3 linked regions of the Drosophila melanogaster genome follow. The protein of the gene in region 2 purifies or fractionates together with the protein of the main gene of each other region. This does not show direct contact. Each region holds a gene or a part of one and is shown on either strand. Other genes may lie near its edges.

Region 1 (5,882 bases), 8.6 Mb from region 2:
TAAAAATCTTAAAATTTAATTAATTGAAAACACAATTGAAGATGCCTAATAGGTGCATAAACTACGATTATACGTTATAGCCATTTAAAAATGGCAGAAATCTTCGTTTTTCCAATTTATCCGTCTCTGAATCAACCGAAGTTCTTTTGATCCCATTAAAAGAGATTAATAATAGTGATGTTTGTTTAAGTAAATCAAATCAAAAATCAAATCAAAAAATTTCCAATTTAAAAGTATATGTAATGCACAAAGAGTTATTTAATTATGCTATACTGTGTTTAACTACTTTTTATCCAATCTAAAAAACAATTAAAACTAAATAGCTTATAAACTTAAACTGAGACTAATACATTTTACTACGACAACTAGTTAGTTGTTCTTCCCTGCTTATGAAATTAAACGGAAGATATGACATCAATTCCATGGGGCAAACTTTATCGTAACTATCTCACATTTTCGGCAATTTTTCATTTCTCGGCAATTGTTCTAAATTGAAACCTGACCTTTTATTAGCCGCCATTGCGCCTATCACTAATTAAAATCTGTAGGGCACTAGCGGAAATTGGATGTCATGTAGTTTTGGCGAAGCCAACCCTGTTTGTACCCAAGTGACTACCCCAAATCCTGCGGGAGCACACACAATTAATGGGCCCGTCTGCCGATATGCTTCTCCACCGCCAGGTCCACTACGAAACGCACCTTTCGGCGGTGCACAGGTGGCGATAGCGACATCACCAACAACTGCTCGTGACCGTCAAATTCCGCCGGAGTGGGACCGAAACTGGAAGTTGGATCCGGACTGGGATTTCGCTGGAAGCGAGGGCAGGGAGTCGGTCGCGCCGATGACGTCACGCACCTTGGACAACTTTTACCCTTTCGATGGCGGAAATGCCCCGCCGAAAACCAGTGAAACGGAAATGGATAACCAATTCGGAGATAGCTATCTCGACCCGTATCCTACGCTGTTCGGTCGCCAGTGGCACCTCCAGCATCGCAGCAAGCAGCTGCAGGTGCAGCACAAGTGGCAATCTCCGGTTCCTCCACTTGCGGAAGTCAAGGCTAAGAGGGATCCCGCCAACTGGCCACCCGACGACGAGGAGCCACCGCTTACGTACCCCTACGCCTACACCTTGCCCTGGAAACGAAAGGAGGTTCCGGACTCACTCCGATATATGCCCTCGATCAGTGCTGGTGAGTAATGGAGTATTGGATAGGATTTGGATTCTTTGATTTAATTTAAAGCGGATTTAATCCTTAACCAATGAACCCATTGCTAGTGACATTCGTTCTACATTCCAGGAGCCATGACCAATCTGGGCGGCTTTTTCAACCGCCTGGAAGCGAACCTGCGCTTCGCGGAGCAATCGCAACTGGGTGAGTCGGAGACGCGTATGCTGGAGGGTAAACACCCGCACCCACTGCACCTGCCGCCCGTGCCGCCCGACGCTCCGGAGGATTCCGAGCAGAAGCAGGAGCACGACCGGAAGACATCGAAGCTCCTGCAGGCCCTGCGCAGCTACAGGCCCTCCCAGAAGATCCGATCGCTGGTGTCGCGCAATCCGCAGGGATACCGCGGCTCCCAGTTCATTGATCCCAGCTACATGTGGCTGGGTCTGGGCAAATGACAGTGAGACCGCCGGAGCAGCAGAATGGCCCATCAATAGTTACCTAAGTAGCTGCAACGAATGCCGCCCCAAGATTCGATTTAATTTATGCCCTCTGTGTGTGTAGAAATATATGTTTGAAAGCCTATCACAGTGTGTTAAGTTTTAAGGAATGGTATGTATTAACATTTTCGAATTACAAACAAATAATAGTAGCATCTCCAAACATTACAACAAGAAGCGTAAACCAAGCCCCTAAATAATTTTCCATTTGATTATTTATATAAAAAATATATATTTTTTTTTTTGCAGCCAATCGAAAAATCTTGTATTGGCCATTTCGTTTGGATATACGTATAGACACAATCGCGTTAATGTAAATATATATGATGTACACACAGATTTTCATTCTCTGATGCATGAAATACAACGTAGTATATAATTTTGGTGCTACTAGCTAGAAAAATATTGGGTTTATCGGGGAAGCCCCATTGGAAACATTCGAAAAGGGATATGATGAAATAAGAGCTGGCCAAACGGGAAGCTACACTGGAGCTTAAATCTTGGTGTAGCTGGGATAGGAGTTGGTCTGCTGGGTCGGCTGTGGGATCAGCGGGCGCTGGATCTCACGGGATGCCTGGATCTGCTTGAAGAGCGAGTAGATGCCGTAGTAGAGATACCAGGTCAGCACTGAAAACGAGCGAATGGAGAAAAATAAGCATCGTGCCCAAGCGCAATTATAGAACGATCGCAGACCGTCGAGCGATAAGCGCAATGGGGATCCACAATTTCGCAACAACGGCCAGTGTGTATTGTGTATACCCATTTCCAGATAGAGCTTATGTATGTATGAAGTGGTGAGTCACTTACAGAGCAGGCCAACATCCACGAAAATGATTGGAAGAGCGCTCAGGAAAGATGTATTTCCGATGATCTGGGCCAGCATTGCAATATTGGTGATAATTCCAAAGACAAGCAGCACTCCATTGTTGATCAGCCAGGGCAGCAGGAGTAAATGGCGTTCCTGAAAGGCAAACGCTATTAGAACCATCTCTATCTCTAGTTAGTATGGTGTATGTACATATGTATTTGCAAAGAAACTTGCCGGTTTTTTTTACAGAATAGTGGGCTTTTAAAAAGGTCTAACTCTAGATATGTACTATAGTAGACACATATATACGCGATTGTACAGATTGCATATTGATACTAGACTTACCTTAACGGTACCTGCAACCAACATGGCCGAAGCCAGAAGATTAATCACCTTGAGCGCCAGGTAAACACTGAAAACGATGATTAGCACTGCAATAACCGCAAGAACAATGAAATACAATAAAAAATATACGATTGGTTGTGGGTGCACTCGATGGTTAGCCCTTACCACTGCGAATCTCGGTGGCCGTCTTGTTAGAATCTTCCGATCCCTTGGCGATCTGCTGCGCAATTTCATCGACGAATCCGAGGGCCAAGGACAAGAGGATCGTGGCCAAGAAGGATAGAATCACGCCCAGCCATCCAATGACCACACCATAGGTGTTCAGGCGCATACAGAAGACCCTGGACAGCATTCTGGATTCACTTGATTTCGTGCTAATGCGAAGATAAAGACAATTTTACTTCAGTTCGCCGGCGCAGCAAAATTGCAATTGCTTGATAAGTCGCAATTGGCTGACAATTAAAAGCTTTTGGGTACAGCGGCGTTGCCAGACTGGTTCAAGCAGTTGGTGTCGAAACTGTGACTTGTTCACCAGCTTTTAATGTGACTTTTTAACGCTAATTGTTTAAAATTCTTTTAATAACATTTTTATATTTTAAATATTTTTATGCATTTATTATTTGGCATGATAGTTAAAAAATATTTATTTATGTATTCATTAACACTGCACAGCAGCGGCTTACTTTCATAATATTTTTCAAGGTGCTAATAGTAGCTACATTACATATATAATACAGCATTAAATCTCTCTATTATTTTAAAGACAATTCCCCATTTTATTCATTTCACTCTTAAATGACGAAACATATGCAAACAAATTCATATAGTAAATGAGTGCACATATATTTTTTAAGAACATATCAGACGTAGTTTTTCCACGCTCGAAAAAAAAGTATTTTCGTGTTGCATAGTTTACGCAACCGTTTCTTCTGAGCGGCATCGGCATTTGCGCCACACTTATTATTTGATTCTTGCCCAGTGCGGTTGTGTTTCCGTGCGCTAGGTGTTCCCAAACCGGTTTAAGTGCCATACTAGCCATATTTGTATTTGGAAAATTCGCTGTAAACCACAGAGTTTCAAAATGAAAATCGATCTGACGGTGGAAAATGGCCCGTGCAATACCGATTTGCGGAGCTGGTGCCTGGGAATCGCGATCTATTGGCTATTGAGCATGACTTTCAACGTTATATTCGCTCCAAACGGTAGGAGAAATGCGAGAGGCGTGGCATTTGTTTATTTTCAGAAGCTGATTGCCCAGACTGACGCTATTTCCATAGAGAGACAATACATTCATGATGTTCACATGCGAAATAAACGAATGAGCTAATCCATTCGACACAAACGCGTTCCAATTCACAACCATTTTGGATACAACACCTCACCATCGATGACGACATCGCCGACAAATTCGAGCTGACAATTCATTTTAGGTGGCCCGAAATGCCATTTTCTCACAGGCTTGAATTTTCCAGCACAAAAAAGAAAATTAAATAATTTCCTTGGGCTGTGCATGGCGCAGAATTAAACTTAAAAGATTATTGGGTTTTAACAGTTGAACGCCATATGTCATAAAAACACTTAAAGCCCTGCATTTGTCCATGTCTCAAAGAAGTTCTATAAACCTTATTCTAAGCTGTTTTAAAAAGTTTGTCATATTTCATGTATGAAATGTGTTTAAAATATAAAAGAAGAATTTATGTTTTAGTTCTTTATGTATATGTACACATGTACATGAAGTGCATCAGTGCATCAATATGTACTCATTATATACGAAGATACATTTAGCAGTCGTGTTCTCAAATTTCAGACGGGAAGAAAGATAAGAGCACAGCAACGTTTTGCTTGGAATACATTGAGTCACTTATAAGCCCAAGTTTATGTTTACTTTCCACTAATTGTAACGGCTTTTTTTATGAATGAAATATGTACGTTCAATAATTTCTATTTAAATTCACTTGAATCCTTGCAGTTCTTACCTTTATTGGATTTGCCATCGTAGTAGTCGCCAATATTTGCTTATTGATAGGAACCCTGAAGGTAAATAAAATACAACCCATTCCGTTTTATTGAGTCAACGAAACCCAATCTACCTTTCCGAATTGCAGGAAAAGCCAATTCTGGTGTTCGTCTGGCTGATCTTCGCTGCCATTGAAGCCATCTCCTTTCCGTTTGCCGTCTTCGGGGTTATCTTCCACTACGGAGGATATCGCGAGGCTACCGGAATGAACAACGTTTTCGGTGCCCTGCTCGTTTACATCATCACATTTCGTAAGTATCGGCTATGAACATCAAATTGAGTTAACAAAAATGTACAGATCATACATATTCTCCGCTACACTTTCAGTATTGATCCTCTTCAGCGCACGAATTGTGTACTCCTTCTACCTCCAGCTGAAAAACAGCGAAGCCAGCAAACAAACACCGCGCGCCATGAATGTGGTTTAGTCCTTATCATTCTACACTACATAAATTGTCGGGGAAGAGCCCACCGTTCGTTCATCTCAGTGTTTGCAATAAAATGCTTTGTTTTTTATTTGATTGCAGTTTGTCGTTAACGCACATCTCTTACTCACATCGACTTGGGATCAACTATCAACAGTTAAATACATTGGTTACATACATATACATACAGGGTGCTATTGGCTATTGGGCTACCGCGTTCTTAAACATTCAACATTTAAAACGATCGATCACACTACGGACAATTATATACTCTCGACACAGTTCTCTATCTATATAGCTAGCTATCATACTCGGCATCGTCTTCTGCTCCAATCTGCTTACTTAGACATAAAATGGAAAGTTGGTCATCTTATTGTTGCTGCTGTTATTGATGTTTTGCGACTGCGTAAAGCTCGTCTCGGCATTTTGGGTAGTTAGCTTAGCCTGCACGGCCGCCAGTATTCGCACAGCCTGGCCAGTACTGCCCGACTCCATGGCAGACTCCATACCTAGGTTCAGGTTCAGCTTGAGCTCGAAGTGTGACCCACTCGCTTGGATCTGCGACTGCGTCTGCCGTTGGGCAACAGCCGGTTTTCATCTCGGCGTGGTTATGCTGGGCA
Region 2 (8,074 bases):
TCGGCGGGCCCGCCGATATGCCCGCATTCTCTGGCGGCGGTCCTCCATGGCGGTGTGGGCGTGGCCCGGGTATCGTGTTGGAGTATGGAATTCAGTAACAAACGATAACTAATTTCAAACCTAATGGAGAAGTCCAGGCCACTCTGATATGTGAAGCTGGGTGGCCAGCAACCACTGCGATGAAAGATACCCACTACACCAAGATATTTAATTCTATTAGTAAACTCTATTAGTTCACTAAATATACTCTGCGCACTCAGAAGAAAGAAGCATGTATAGTGAAAATACGAGCATACGATTCAATTATTTTCAGTTTTACATTTTAAAAGCAAGCACGCAATTCTATGGTCACCTATATGCTCACCTTTTTCAATGATTATAGTGACTTGATTTCAAAAACTAGTTCAAAAAATGTATGTTTTATCATAGATATCTAGGGTTTTGTAGGAATACTTTCAATGAATATAAAATCATTCATTGCAAAATGTAAAATGGGAGTTAGGCAGTTACACAACATACAGAATTCGCAAAATTTTTGTATGGCCGTACTTTGCTGGTCATTTACGTGCCGCAAATGAGTTTTCACACCTCAAAACCAACCGGAAGGTAACGATTAACGGACCAATCCAACCTACCGCGATCCCGCTGGCGGACAGAACAGTTGGCATTTATTTTTCTGATAGTTTGATGTTTTTCTCATAAATTTAGATGTGAATCGAAACAAGCCACTCCAAATACAGTTTCAGAACTAGAGCGTCTGTACATATGTTGCGCGAAAACCCCCCACCGCGCCAAAAGAGTTGGGTGGGACCCACGTACAGAGTAACCATAATTATGCTCGTCATCGGACAGATTCAGGTCTCGGTGGCGATGGAGATGTGAGTAGTGATCCATGCTCTTGCCCTGCGGCTTTTGACAGACCTTTCAATTGCTCCTCTTTTTCAGCACTCCCCTGAAGGAATTTCTCGCAGATCGCTACTACCTCAGTCTCGTGCAATTTGTCGTCAGCTTCCTATCCATCCAGCTCTACGGATTTTTCTACCACATAATCGTTAAAAAGCCTATGTGGGTGCGGTTATTGGCGGGCCTCTGGACGGTAAGTACATGAATGATCTCAACTGATGGTGTCCATTTCGAATGACCTCTTTTGATCTGCAGTACGAGGTGAACACCATGTCGATCATGAAGCCCGCCAAACGTGCCCCTTATATAAGCCTCATCCTGTCAATCTTCCTAACATTCCTTATGATGATCATCAGTGTGATATACGGAAATAGTGCCATCAAACACAAGAAAGGCCTTTTCGTAAGTGAAGAACTTGTTGACCCGCCGACACTTACCTCCTTTACCACAGACTACCCGGCATAAGGTTATCCTGTGGAGCGAGCGCATATTTGTCCTCACCTGCTTTGGCATCATCGTGTGTGCCGAGATGAAGCGTGTTATCATAGAGTTTCCAACCCTGCTAGTATACACCATTCTCTCGAGCGTGGTAAGCCTCAGGGAAACGAAACGATACACCTACTTTCCCATTTTTAAAATAACGACACAGTATTCCTCCAATTTTGCCCACAGTTTGTCATAGTCTTTGGCGCTTCCATGCGAAAGCCGAACTTCTACCGCCAGGAGTCGACCGGGGACTACATACTGATCGGCCAGCTGTACTACCTCAACTTTTTTGCCCTATATATGGGCTATGTGTGGACGACAGCCTCGTTTATAGAATTGATGGGATGGCGCGCGGACATTCATGATATATTCGTGTACCTGTTCTATCGGAAGAACATCGAATGAGTGGAACGCATGCGTGGACTATCGGAACAGCTGGGACAGAATGTTTATGCGAGACGATTCAGTTCCTGCGGCAATTGGTCAGTGCCTCGATGTCGATGGGGCAAGTTTGTCTGGGTGCCCGCGACTGCTGTCGTCTTGTTTCGATTCGGTTTGCCGGAAAATCGATAACTGTTTCCATGGCACGCGCATCTTAAGCAAAAACGCTGAATGTAAATAAATGGCTCTGTCCGCGAAACGTTTCCATAAAACTTCGGTGGACTTGATGGGTCCGGTTAAAGTGTAGGTGGCATGATGTATTTTCAATTGGATGATATACACGTATATATAATTGTATATAATGCAATACACATTAATGGGACCTCTGGTCTCGGCTACGACACGTAAAAATGTTAAGTTTAACATTAAGATTTAATAATTACATTCTGGTTAAATATATGCTAGACGCAATTTTAGTAAGTTATCCTTTTGATTTTCTTCATCTCCCCTTCTCTCATTGCGCGAAAAGACCAGAAAGGTTTCCGTCCCAGTTGTGTTTGTTTGGTCCTTTTCCATTTCGTATCCATGTGTTTACCTCACTCCCTAGGAGGCCTTTAGTGCGGCGGTGCTTGGGTGATGGCCTTGTTTCCTCCACCACTGCCGCTGTCACTACTAGACGGCCAAACGGACACTAAAAAGGGAAATACGCAGATATTAGAGCTATGTTTATATCAATTCAACGAGATATGAAAAGGATTTCATATCCTATCTCGCATTTAAATGAAATCGCGGTCTTTTTAAGTAAAAGTTCTAACCACCCAGCACATTGTACTGAGCGTTTTGTTGACGAAAGATTTCTTCAGTTATTTATTAATTAACAACTTTTAAAGTCAGATTTTATCTTCCCGCTTACTATCTTACATACCTTTCGATGTCAGCACGGATTTCGTATTGTCATTCTTATTTAATACTTTTTACGCGAGTTTAATTTGAATAAAATCGAAATGACTTTTTAAAATGAAATTTCTCCATAGAACAGAGCCCTAGCCCCAACATTGCACTGTAGATATAACCATTTTTAACTTCTTAATAGCTTTGCTGAAGCTATATACATATGTATGAACTTTATAGTCTACACACGTATGACATGGAGGTTCTAATCTTCGCACACTACAGACTAAACAAATATAACGATAATTAACACTTAGGACAGGCACAAGAACAACAATTACCTTTAGAGCTTTAGAGTTGCTTAGCTTAAGACTTTTATAAAATATAATAAACAATTTAAGGAGTATATAGTAGGAGCCAGTACACGTACACAAACGTGTTAAACGATTAATCTGAACCTTAACTTTGCTGATTGGGAAACGGAATTACATGATTTTTGTTGGCTTTGCTTTTGTTTTTCTGTGAGTGTGTGTTTAATTGTATCAATTGAAAAGCGACACTGCAAGTAAACAGAAATTCACAAGGGGTTGTCATCAGTACGAGTAGGAGTATCTGTTATTGGATTAGTTAGCTGCAAGCCACATGGACAAGTTGTTAGGACCGAAACCACAGGTTGAGCAAGATTAGGGCGTTTGCAGGGCGTCGACTTGCGTTATAGATATAACAATACCAAACCAAACCAGCCACCTAGCTACACTACTGATCTTTAGCCTGATCGAGAAAAACCGCAACCAGAAAGAAGCACCAGCAAGAGGCAAAAAGCCGAAGCGGTATAAAATCGGTTAGCTTACCCAGAACGATGATGAGCAGCACAACGGCTATCACGCCCAGAATGATCATCATCTTCATGTTGGCCCACCATTGCTTGCGCTTCAGCTTGCCGGCCTGCTGCTCGAACTGGGATGCTCCCTGCTCCAGCTGATCCGCACGCTCGCCCAGTTCCGATAGCTTCTGGTCCCGCTCCAGGACCTTCTCCACGTTCACACGCATAATCCCGACCACCTCGTCCACCTTGGCTTGGGTCTGCTGCAGCTTCTTCTGGGCTGCATTGTTGTTCCTGATTTGATGGTCACCGAATTGATTGTAGTTGTCATTCGCGTTCGGCGGTGGCGGAAGTATGGGAAAACTGTACAATATTATGTGTGTTTGTGGGGGTTGCTTACACTTATTAAGAGCAGCAGATGGATCATCAAGCTGCAACGCACAAAAGCACGAGTCTTGGTATATCATGCCATCGTTATCTATGCCAATTCACCTTTCACGTTTTAATAATGGGACTTGTGTCCTATAAATACTTTCTTTCTTCTTAAATTCGGATAGACTAATAAAACTTCACAATCTCAAGTGCTGTTGAAATTCCATTGACAAAAAAAAATATAAAATGAGTAATATTCATTTGTTTTTCATAGATGTTAAATGAAACATACTTAAGTATGTTCAGTTACCATTTGCGATAAAGTGATTAATAAGCAAATTCTGTTTCTGATTATAAGCTACTTGCAAATGTTTTACAATTTAGAATCGAATATAATTAATACTTTTTTGTTATTCGAGTTAATTTGCCATTTCACATTAATATTCCATCTAAGATAGCAACTGACTTTACAATATCTCAACTTAACTGAATGCTTTTAATGACCCTAATTGATTTCAAACTACAACTGAAGCTACCGCTTGGGCAGCAGCATGACGTTTACGGTATTCCAATGTCCGAAAGTGAAGTCCGAAGACTTTACTTCCGGTTCGCTGTGGCCCATATGACTCAGGTGACGTCACTGTATGGGATTTTCCTTGCTTTTGTGCGCTGAGCCTGTTGATTCGATGGATTTCCACCACTTACTCGTTGTTGTTGGATCCCGAGGGGGAGGGGGCTTCGTTGTTCTCCATTGTGAATTTGCTGCGGAAAGAAAGCGAAGCAGAGAAAGGCCTTTATTGGATGTCTGGTTCTTTAAATGGGGAGAATGCATGTTCCATCACACACACACACCCGAAATTGTTTAGATTACAGGGCCGAAAAGAAAAGAAAACAAAACGCAGCACACGCCTTATCTATTCGGCCTATGAATCACTCGATTTATAGGAATGCCATCACCTTTGCTCGAAAAAAGAACTTGTTGCATGCCGCACTGCCAACAAACGCTGTTTACATGGGTGGAACGCCACCCCCAACCACCCACCACCCCCGAGCACTCACCTTGACAATGTGCCTGTAGAATACTGCTGTGTATTTCGGGTTTTCCACGGAAAACTGCGGCTGCTTTTTAAATAGCACTATTTTTTTTTATAGAAATATCAGCTTGTGATCAGTGTGACCGTTGAACTATTAGAGCTGGAACCAAGCCCGATACCTTATCGATACTATCGATGTTTCCTGAAAACCCCTTGCAAATATAAAAAGATAATACTTATCTAGCTTATAAAAAACATGAATTGGTATATTTAGTATGTGTATCGGCGCACAAATTATTGTTAACAAGCACTTGCATTCCATTTTTCTTTAGTTCCTTGCAGATGATGTTTGATTTCAAATCAATGTCTTATATTATTGTATCTTATTTTATTACTTAAATTACCAGTGCCGCAAGCCAAAATGAAATTTTTGTTTGCTCTTAACTGATTTATCTTTAATACTTTTACAAAAGATCAGCGAAAATTATTAATAACGCACTGTTGCCTAAATAGCAGAGACAAAAACCAATAAACTGTTCTACCGAGCCATGTACATGTATAATATGTAATAAAAATGTAGAATTCCACAGCAATGTATAAAATTTGTGATAATTCGTTACTAGTTTTTTTTACAGTCTCAAATGTGTGTTTGCATTTTACTATTGCACTTAGATAACTAATTATTTTATTATTTTCAATAGGTTGAAAATTTTGTAAGAAACTATGGAAAATGCATAACTCCCTGGTGACCAAGTTGCTGCTGCGGCTTTTGCTGCTCTTCGCCTTGTTGACCGGCGCCTCCATTGTGGTGCTCACAAAGTGCGGATTCGATGAACTGACGACGAGGGAAACTCAAGCCAATAATCCGAGTGAATCCAGCGGATTCAGTTACACCTTAAGCGAACGAGAGGCGGAAATTGAGCGGCTGAAACAGGAAGTCCTGGCTCTCCGCACTCAAATCCTCTTTCTACAGAATAATCGCAGCACTGCCAAGCCATCAAATGGCAGTCTTCAATTGCAAGAAACCACCGCGGGGCCACCAACTGCACCACTGGGTCACCATTACGACTGCAGCAGCTATATTCGCAAGCAGGTGGGCGCCGCAGAAATTCTGCATGGACTGCCGCTGAACAACGAGTACGAGCTGATACCCTACAATCACTTCACCTTCACGCGAGTATATCCCATCGACTTGGGCCTGGGAAAGCGCGTGGTGGAGAAGCCCATCGGTTATCGACGACGTGACCTCATCGAGGCGGTAAACAAGGCGCTGGAGAGCCTGAACAGGAATCACTCAGCGAGAATACGAGCCAAGGGAGCTGGTTCTGCAGCGGCTTACGCCTCGGATGTGATCAAATACACCCTGGATGACTTTATCGAGGGCATATACCGCAACGAACCCACCACAGGCACCCAGTACGAGCTGTACTTCCAGAGTGTCAAGCACCAGGCGAGTCCAGTGCGGAGAGCCCTGGTCATGCGACCATTTGCTCCTCTGCAAACGGTGCAGCTATCGGAGCTATCTTCCAGTGTGGATAATAGTGGTGCCCCTCCAAGTCATAGTCCGCCCATAATCCACGTGATACTACCGCTGGCTGGACGTCTGCACAGCTTTCGCGGCTTCCTGCAGATGTTCGCCAAGCTAGAGGATCGTCGCCTGGAGCTTATTGTGGTGTACTTTGGAACCAGTGGATTGGAGCAAGCTAGGAGCCTGGCTGGACGATCCCAAAGGACTCAGTTTTTGGCACTCAATGAGACTTTCAGTAGGGGTAAGCACGGGTTTCGTTTATTAATATTACATTTGTTTCGTTCATAATACATATGCAAGTTTATAATGCATTACAAATAATATTGGTAGTTAATAATAGCCATTTTGCTTATAGCCAAAGCTTTAAGACTGGGAGCGGAGCACATTCAACCCGCTGAGGAGGACGTGCTGCTCTTCATGTGCGACGTGGACATTATGTTCACGACCAAGTTCCTGGAGCGTTGTCGCTGGAATGCAGCGCCTGGAAAGAAGGTAAATATATCTGCTATTATTTAAATTACTAATACATTAACATCTATTTTCAACGCTTAGGTCTACTACCCCGTCGTATTTAGCCTGTACAATCCGCATGTGGTGTACTCACTGCAGGGCAAGCCCTTGCCCAGCGAAGAGGAGCAACTGGTGATATCGAGGGACACCGGTTTCTGGCGGGACTTTGGCTACGGAATGACGTGCCAGTACCGCTCGAACTTCCTAAAGGTGCGCGGTTTCGACGAGGAGGAGATTGTCGGTTGGGGCGGCGAGGATGTGATGCTATACCGAAAGTATGTTCGATCAAAAATCAAGATAATCAGGGCCACCGACCCGGGAATCTTTCACCGCTGGCACACCAAGGTACTGTTGTATGCAACGAATTTCAGCCCATTTGCACTACCGAGTTCTCTCTTTTACACAGATCTGTTCCAGTTCCCTGACAGCCGATCAGTATCGGGCCTGCATTCGATCGAGGGCCTTGAATGAGGCCTCGCACGCCCAACTGGGATTCCTGGCTTTCCGGGATGATATAGCCGCGGCTAATGCGGCAAAGATGACATCGTGATACTCGACTATTCCCCATGTATCCCCAATCGCTTGGCTTCTCTACTTAAGTGTGTGTGAATGGAGAGCAGTGATATAGTTGAAATGTCTAGGGTTTTCTAACAATTATAGCTTTTATTCCATTTCGTTTTATTATAAAATTGAATTGTGATTTCATTTCTATCGCTAGCAGTATCAGTATTCTCAATGATATCTATTGTTTTAGATAGAATATACAATATTGTGATATCTATTTTATGCTTCAGTTATGTCAGTTATTAAAATCAGTTTTAATGGAAAGGAGCACTGCCACTCAATCACACATGCAAACTCACGTACTTACTGTAGGCTATAAAGTATGTACAACTTGAGACAATAACTCGTATTTAGCAGAATCGTTGAATTAGCTTAATTGTTGATCTTATTGCGCCCTCAAGGGAGCCACAACCACACAGAGATGAAGATGATGTCAAATCGCACTGTACACATACACATCACAAATTGTTCTTCCATGAAGCGAACTAGATGCAATCTCCAAAGCCCAAGAAAATACATATACATATATATATTTACGAGTACCATATCGAATCTGTATCTCAAACTGAGCCTAGCAAATCT
Region 3 (5,796 bases), about 14 Mb from region 2:
CACTATTTGTAACTACAATACAATTTAATAAAAAAATCGAAGGAAACAAGTACATTTTACGAGACATGACTGCTTTAAACTGGGCTGCGTTCGAATGAGGGATGGACGACGCCAAGTTCAAACTTCCACACAATTGTTTTCCGGAAAGCTTCTGGAATATGATGCGGCTGACTCAGTTTCGAATCGAGGTTTTTAGCGTTTGATGGATAGCTACTAATTGTTCCGAGAACTATTTATTATTGCAATCAACTTTAAAGCGACTATTAAAGGGTCATGTTGCACGGGTCTCAAGTGTAACAAATGAGAAATTGCTAATGGAAATCGCTAATGAGATCGTTAAATCTGGTAAACAAATAACATATCGCCAAGTTAGCCCGTCCATCGTGGCTGCGAATCTCTCGCAGAGCGACTTTCGATCGCCGTTTAGTACTCAGACGTCACCTGCCTAATGTTAATGTCAATTTAAGTGTGTATAACTATCGCACATATATTATATAAATTTATAACGACGATTGACTAATCACTGGGTTGACTTTTCAGCAATAGCGATTTTCGCTTCAAAGTCTAAAGTGTGTGCAATCCCGTATGGATACGAGCCGAGCTCGAACACAGGCTCACAGCGCGCGGTTTGTGTTGTGTATTACACTTGAAGTTCAATCCCAGGTAAAAAGTGGGCCCAGGTATAAAAGCCCACTTCATAGAAACATTTCTCAGTTAGTTCCAGCAGCTGAATTGCTTCACATCTATTCGCTCCGAGTCGCCCCACAAGTCGAGCCCCATTGTAAGACCACCGCACCGTTTATAGTTTTTGGAGCCGATCGGCTCGGCTGGTCGACTGGTGGCTGGTAGTAGTCCACACACTCATGGACGCAGCCAGACGGGCAACCAGTTTCATTGTGTATAAACAGTGACATCTTTTCAGACAGCGAATGTGTTTCAGATACGCATACAAAGTGGCCTGCCTGGCTGTGCATTAATTTGCATACAAATCCCATAAGTCCACAGATACATTTTGCGAATGCAGTCGCGCTCGATGGCTAGTAAAAATATTTTTCCATTGCCCAGTAAAATCCCCTGCGCACAAAACTGGTTGCCCGACCAACAGACCCACTAAGCCACAAAAGTGCTGATTAATCGTACAAACATACTTACCCCAATTCGCCCGCAGAAAACTCCAAGATGAAGATGATACTTGCGCTTGTCGTCCTTGGACTGGTGCTGGTCGCCGCCGAGGATAAGTACACCACCAAGTACGACAACATCGACGTCGACGAGATCCTGAAGTCGGACCGCCTCTTCGGAAACTACTTCAAGTGCCTGGTGGACAACGGAAAGTGCACCCCGGAGGGCCGGGAGCTCAAGAAGTCCCTGCCGGACGCCCTGAAGACGGAGTGCAGCAAGTGCAGCGAGAAGCAGCGCCAGAACACCGACAAGGTCATTCGCTACATCATCGAAAACAAGCCCGAGGAGTGGAAGCAGCTGCAGGCCAAGTACGATCCCGATGAGATCTACATCAAGCGCTACCGCGCCACCGCCGAGGCCTCGGGAATCAAGGTGTAAGGCGGATCCCGGTTCCGGAAACTCTTGGTTATATGCACTGTTAATTAGGTCTACGCTTATATCTGATCATCAAAATTATTTCTACGATCGTGCTCGGAATAAAGAGATTTGTTTTTTTACCATACACCTGCCGAGTATTATATCGTTATCGAAGGGGGATTTGCCAGGCTTCAGAGAGTATATAAATTAACTATGACAAATGTAGCACTTAAGTCTAGCCTCCTGCTACTAGAACGATGATTAATCTAAGCACAATTAAGGTCTTAGAAAAAACATTCACAAGATTACGACTAGACCCTAATAAGCGGCTTATATATGGCGGGCGATTTGCATTAACATTGACAATAAAGGCAGCTACGGTTAGTTGGCAAAAACATCGCGTGCTTGTCTTGGTTCTGAGCTATTACTTATATTATTCTTAAAAGGGGCAATGAATCGAATCCGATGGCCGCAAGTAACTCAGCCGTGAAAACCTTCCTTCAAAGAACAAACAAACAATGTACAGCGAATTATTAATGTCACGGCAATTCACATTGCGAATCAAAAGATATTAAATATTAAATCAGTATTTTAATTACTTATAAATGTACAAAGCTTAGTATAAGGTTGTGGGCAGCGTTTACGTTAATGTTTCACCCTGGGCGACGCACGCCTCCAGATAGTCTATGCGCCGCTCCAGGATCGTTAGTTTTTCGTTCAGCACCGCCAGACGGGAGCGACAGGACATATCTGAAAGGATATGATAGCACACGATGATACAGTTTATAATGCCAACAGTGTACATAAACCCTATTAAGGATATGGGATATTTTAGCAACCCAACTACCTCGCACTCTTTGGCTTATCATTTATCACAGTATTTAGCGTATCTTAAATTATGCATAGAGCAACCGAAAAAGCTTATCCAATTCATTTAGGTGACTAATTCGGATAGAGATAAAGCCGAATTTTCGTTTTGAGCCCTCCGATGATGTTACATACATACATTTCCATATGTATGTAGATACATATATTGCTATACATATATGCCACCACGCACAAACCACTGTTTGTTTCTATAGACTTAAGACTTGAGTAAATAAAGTCATTGTCACTGATGAATATTTGTTAGTAATATTACTTATGCGTTCACCCACACCTACAAAGGAAGTGATAATAAACACGCGCACACACACATGCGTCAGAGGGAAGTGGGTGCTTCGTATGCAGGTTGCTTACCGAAAGAGTTCAGAAAGTCGGTGATTCTCTTTATGCTGGCAGTTATCACTTCGATATACTCCCTGTTCGCCCAGTCCTGGTGGATCTGCTTTTGGATCGCCTCTCTGTGAGCCCCACTCATCTTTATTTATTCCTATTGTTTCTGTTCGTTTTAATTGTGTTTATCTAGAGATGAGAGATGGGTTGGGCCGGAACAATTATTGTCAAAAATTTGGAACTATCGATAGGCATACAATTACCGTGTTCACCGTGATTCATTGAGATCAAATTTTTACTCCAACAAGAAATTTTAATGGTGTTTTACAACACTCCCTAAGCACTACTATTTAAAAATTACGCGGGAAAGTGCGATGAAAGAAATAACTTAATATTTTTGTCTGCCAACTATAGCGTGTAAATATGAATAATAAAATAAAGGTAAATAATAAAAGTATTGGGGTAGACACAGCCGAATATATAAAGAAACTTATCGCCGCAATATACAATTGTATATCGCAATATACATAGATATATTCGAATTTGCGTTTGCTATATTTTATATTAACCGTGGGTTAGTTTTCGATGTTTTATTGTTTTAAATGATATTTATTAAGGAATTACTGCAAACCAGCAAAGTATGTACCCATTTTGCGGTCCGATTCCGCGTGTTCCAATCGGAATGAGCCGAGCGAAACGATAGCTATTGATGCCACTCACGCACACGCACACATAGATAAACTAGGTGGCCCCGTAAACTACAGTGTTTTTCATTTGGTAAACAAAAAATGGACTTTATCGACGACTTCATCGAAGAATACAAAAGCAATCCGTGCTTGTGGAAGGCGGACTCGGCGGACTTCAGGAACCGCAGCCGCCGGCAGGAGGCCTACGCGAAGCTCATCGAGGTGGCCACCAAGCACGGGGAGATGTACAATGTGGAGCGAACAAAGCAAAAGATAAACAATCTGCGCTGTGCATTTCGTCATCAGCTGAGGAAATACAACGAGGTCAAGAAAAAGGGCGAGAAGTACGAGCCCTACTGCCCCAAGCGCCGCTACTTCGAGTCCCTGATGTTCCTTAAGGACGAGGAGATCCCCGCCGACAAGAAGTTCAAGCGCGAGCAGTCGGTCTGCCTGGACAACTCCATGCAGCTAGGGGCGCCAGAGAACGGCGACGAGTATTCCGACGCCGAGAGCCTGCACAAGCCCCCAAAGCCGACGGCAGACTCGATCAAGATGTCACCCAACAACAGCGCCAACGAATTCTGTGCCAACATCTTCGAGGAGGCCGCCGCCGCCGCTGCCGCTGACCCCGTTATCAGTATTAAAACAGTCAACAACGCCAACAGCCATGCCAGTGGCGCTACTATCAAGGAGGTCGAAATCGTGGTGCCTGCTAACAACAGGCTGCTGTCCGCCCGCAGAAAATCCGTGCCCGACTCCATAAAGTCTCCGCCTGGCGACTCCGAATCGCCGCAGTGCAAGCGCATCGTCACCCAGAACCAAACGAAACTGATCAGTAATCAGAGCCCGAGCCAGAAAGCCAATCACATAACACGGAAAAGGTCCTCCTCGGTCTCTTCGCAGATTTCGGAGGACAACGAGCCGCCTCCAGGTAAATTCCGAGCGGACATTTCCACCATTGACTTTGAGCGCCTCTTTTCGCTGGCCCTAAAGAGTGCGGACAGCCAGCTGGACGACCACTTCTCCAACTTCGGGAAAATTATCGCACACAAGCTTCGCTCCATGGACGGAACACAGGCTATCTACGCGGAAAAGATCATCGCCGATGTGCTGTACCAGGGCCAGATGAAAATGCTGTCCTCGCTGAGTATACACCAGTTTATGGGCGTGGACAATGCAACAGTTTACCTAGAGAGCCACAGTAAATGATGGCCTGGCCCCTTTAAAGACGTACTTTTAGAGTTTATGTAATAATAAGATGTAAAGAGACAGTCATGTGTACAAAGCCATGTTTTATTTAAAGGAGGGATTCCTTTCAGCCGCCTAATCCTTAGAAAATCCCCTAAGCTACGAAACCAAATGCTAGGAATGATGTCGAGACTAGTTTATTATATTCGATGCATGAGAATAACATTTAAATGCCATTTAGGCACTGTCGTACTTCCTTAGAAGCATGGCCCATACGTCCGGGTATCTAGTTTGCAGAAATGTGGTCAGCTTTTGCGCTTTTTGAGCCTGTTGTGGGGAGCAGTTCCTGCATTTCCTGGTTATAACTTCTGGCAGGGCAGCTGTAAGAACCAAATTCGAAATAATTACATTTTGGGCTCTTTACCAATTGGCGAAGAACTTGAAAAGAACTTTGGACTTAAAATGATGTTGTATCTGAACGAACATTAAACGAATATGTTTATTACCTTTGAGTTGAAGTCCCAGTTGGTCGCATTCGCTCTTGCCCAGGATGCACATAATCTGGCGGCTGACCACCACCTGGTTGTTCAGCAGCTTGTTAATGTTTCTCTCATCCGCTTGGACACTCGATGAAATGAGAATGATAAGAAAAATAAAATTAACGACCAAAGAAATCACTCGGTTTTTATTTAAAAGTAGCATCCTTTCTGAACGCGAGACGGTATAGTATAACTGAATGTGGAGCAGAAACTGTGTATCTGTATCCCGCAGATATTCGTGCATGCGCAAAGGAGCTGGACTTCGCAAAATCACGGAAAGGGTAATGATTGCTAAGCACTGTGATTACAATCCGAATATCTGATGAGATGCCACGTACTCTATATACATGGCAATCTTTCGTATATGATAGCATTCCTTCAAATTGGCTATCTTGGTATTCTATTCAGTTGTAAGCATCTGAGATATGTTCAAAGCATTTTTGTACCCAATTTGCAATGGGCAGCCCAGAAAGTAAGTCAGCACCTGCTGTTCCATGCGATAAGAAGGTAAATAAAGAGCTTTCAATGTTTTTGCGTTGTGCTTAAAAGTTATGTTTTACTAAAACAACACATTAAGTACTTTGCAAGGCAGTCAAGACAAGAACAGAAGTATCCTACGGTTTAATTAA

Evidence for each region. Proteins that work in one complex are often made in the same cells at the same time.
Region 1: the proteins of Syb (region 2) and CG15098 purify together in Drosophila melanogaster (affinity purification with mass spectrometry, with the first as the bait; one large-scale study listed by BioGRID). This does not show direct contact.
Region 3: the proteins of Syb (region 2) and HSPC300 purify together in Drosophila melanogaster (affinity purification with mass spectrometry, with the first as the bait; one large-scale study listed by BioGRID). This does not show direct contact.

The regions. Positions count from the first base shown.
Region 1 is NT_033778.4:18,831,491-18,837,372, forward strand, and holds CG15098 (uncharacterized protein), read right to left. Parts: upstream 3,286-5,882; 5' UTR 3,173-3,285; coding exon 2,986-3,172; intron 2,907-2,985; coding exon 2,821-2,906; intron 2,629-2,820; coding exon 2,475-2,628; intron 2,295-2,474; coding exon 2,161-2,294; 3' UTR 1,882-2,160; downstream 1-1,881. Other genes in the region: CG15082 (uncharacterized protein), read left to right, coding at 682-1,191, 1,300-1,625; CG15083 (uncharacterized protein), read left to right, coding at 3,902-4,022, 4,790-4,857, 4,926-5,088, 5,165-5,265; CG15099 (uncharacterized protein), read right to left, coding at 5,857-5,882.
Region 2 is NT_033778.4:10,247,367-10,255,440, forward strand, and holds Syb (synaptobrevin), read right to left. Parts: upstream 5,052-8,074; 5' UTR 4,916-5,051; intron 4,807-4,915; exon of another isoform or gene 4,709-4,806; intron 4,619-4,708; 5' UTR 4,609-4,618; coding exon 4,562-4,608; intron 3,848-4,561; coding exon 3,513-3,847; intron 3,221-3,512; coding exon of another isoform or gene 3,204-3,220; exon of another isoform or gene 3,003-3,203; intron 2,462-3,002; coding exon 2,385-2,461; 3' UTR 2,069-2,384; downstream 1-2,068. Other genes in the region: CG12209 (uncharacterized protein), read right to left, coding at 1-48; CG12914 (uncharacterized protein), read left to right, coding at 766-878, 946-1,096, 1,159-1,305, 1,355-1,492, 1,576-1,794; Csgalnact (chondroitin sulfate N-acetylgalactosaminyltransferase), read left to right, coding at 5,621-6,659, 6,774-6,910, 6,971-7,273, 7,335-7,478. UniProt on the Drosophila melanogaster protein: Involved in the targeting and/or fusion of transport vesicles to their target membrane.
Region 3 is NT_033778.4:24,025,836-24,031,631, forward strand, and holds HSPC300 (haematopoietic stem/progenitor cell protein 300), read right to left. Parts: upstream 2,955-5,796; 5' UTR 2,900-2,954; coding exon 2,779-2,899; intron 2,290-2,778; coding exon 2,180-2,289; 3' UTR 1,882-2,179; downstream 1-1,881. Other genes in the region: EbpIII (ejaculatory bulb protein III), read left to right, coding at 1,180-1,560; CG3163 (uncharacterized protein), read left to right, coding at 3,543-4,649; CG30172 (uncharacterized protein), read right to left, coding at 4,866-5,008, 5,135-5,330.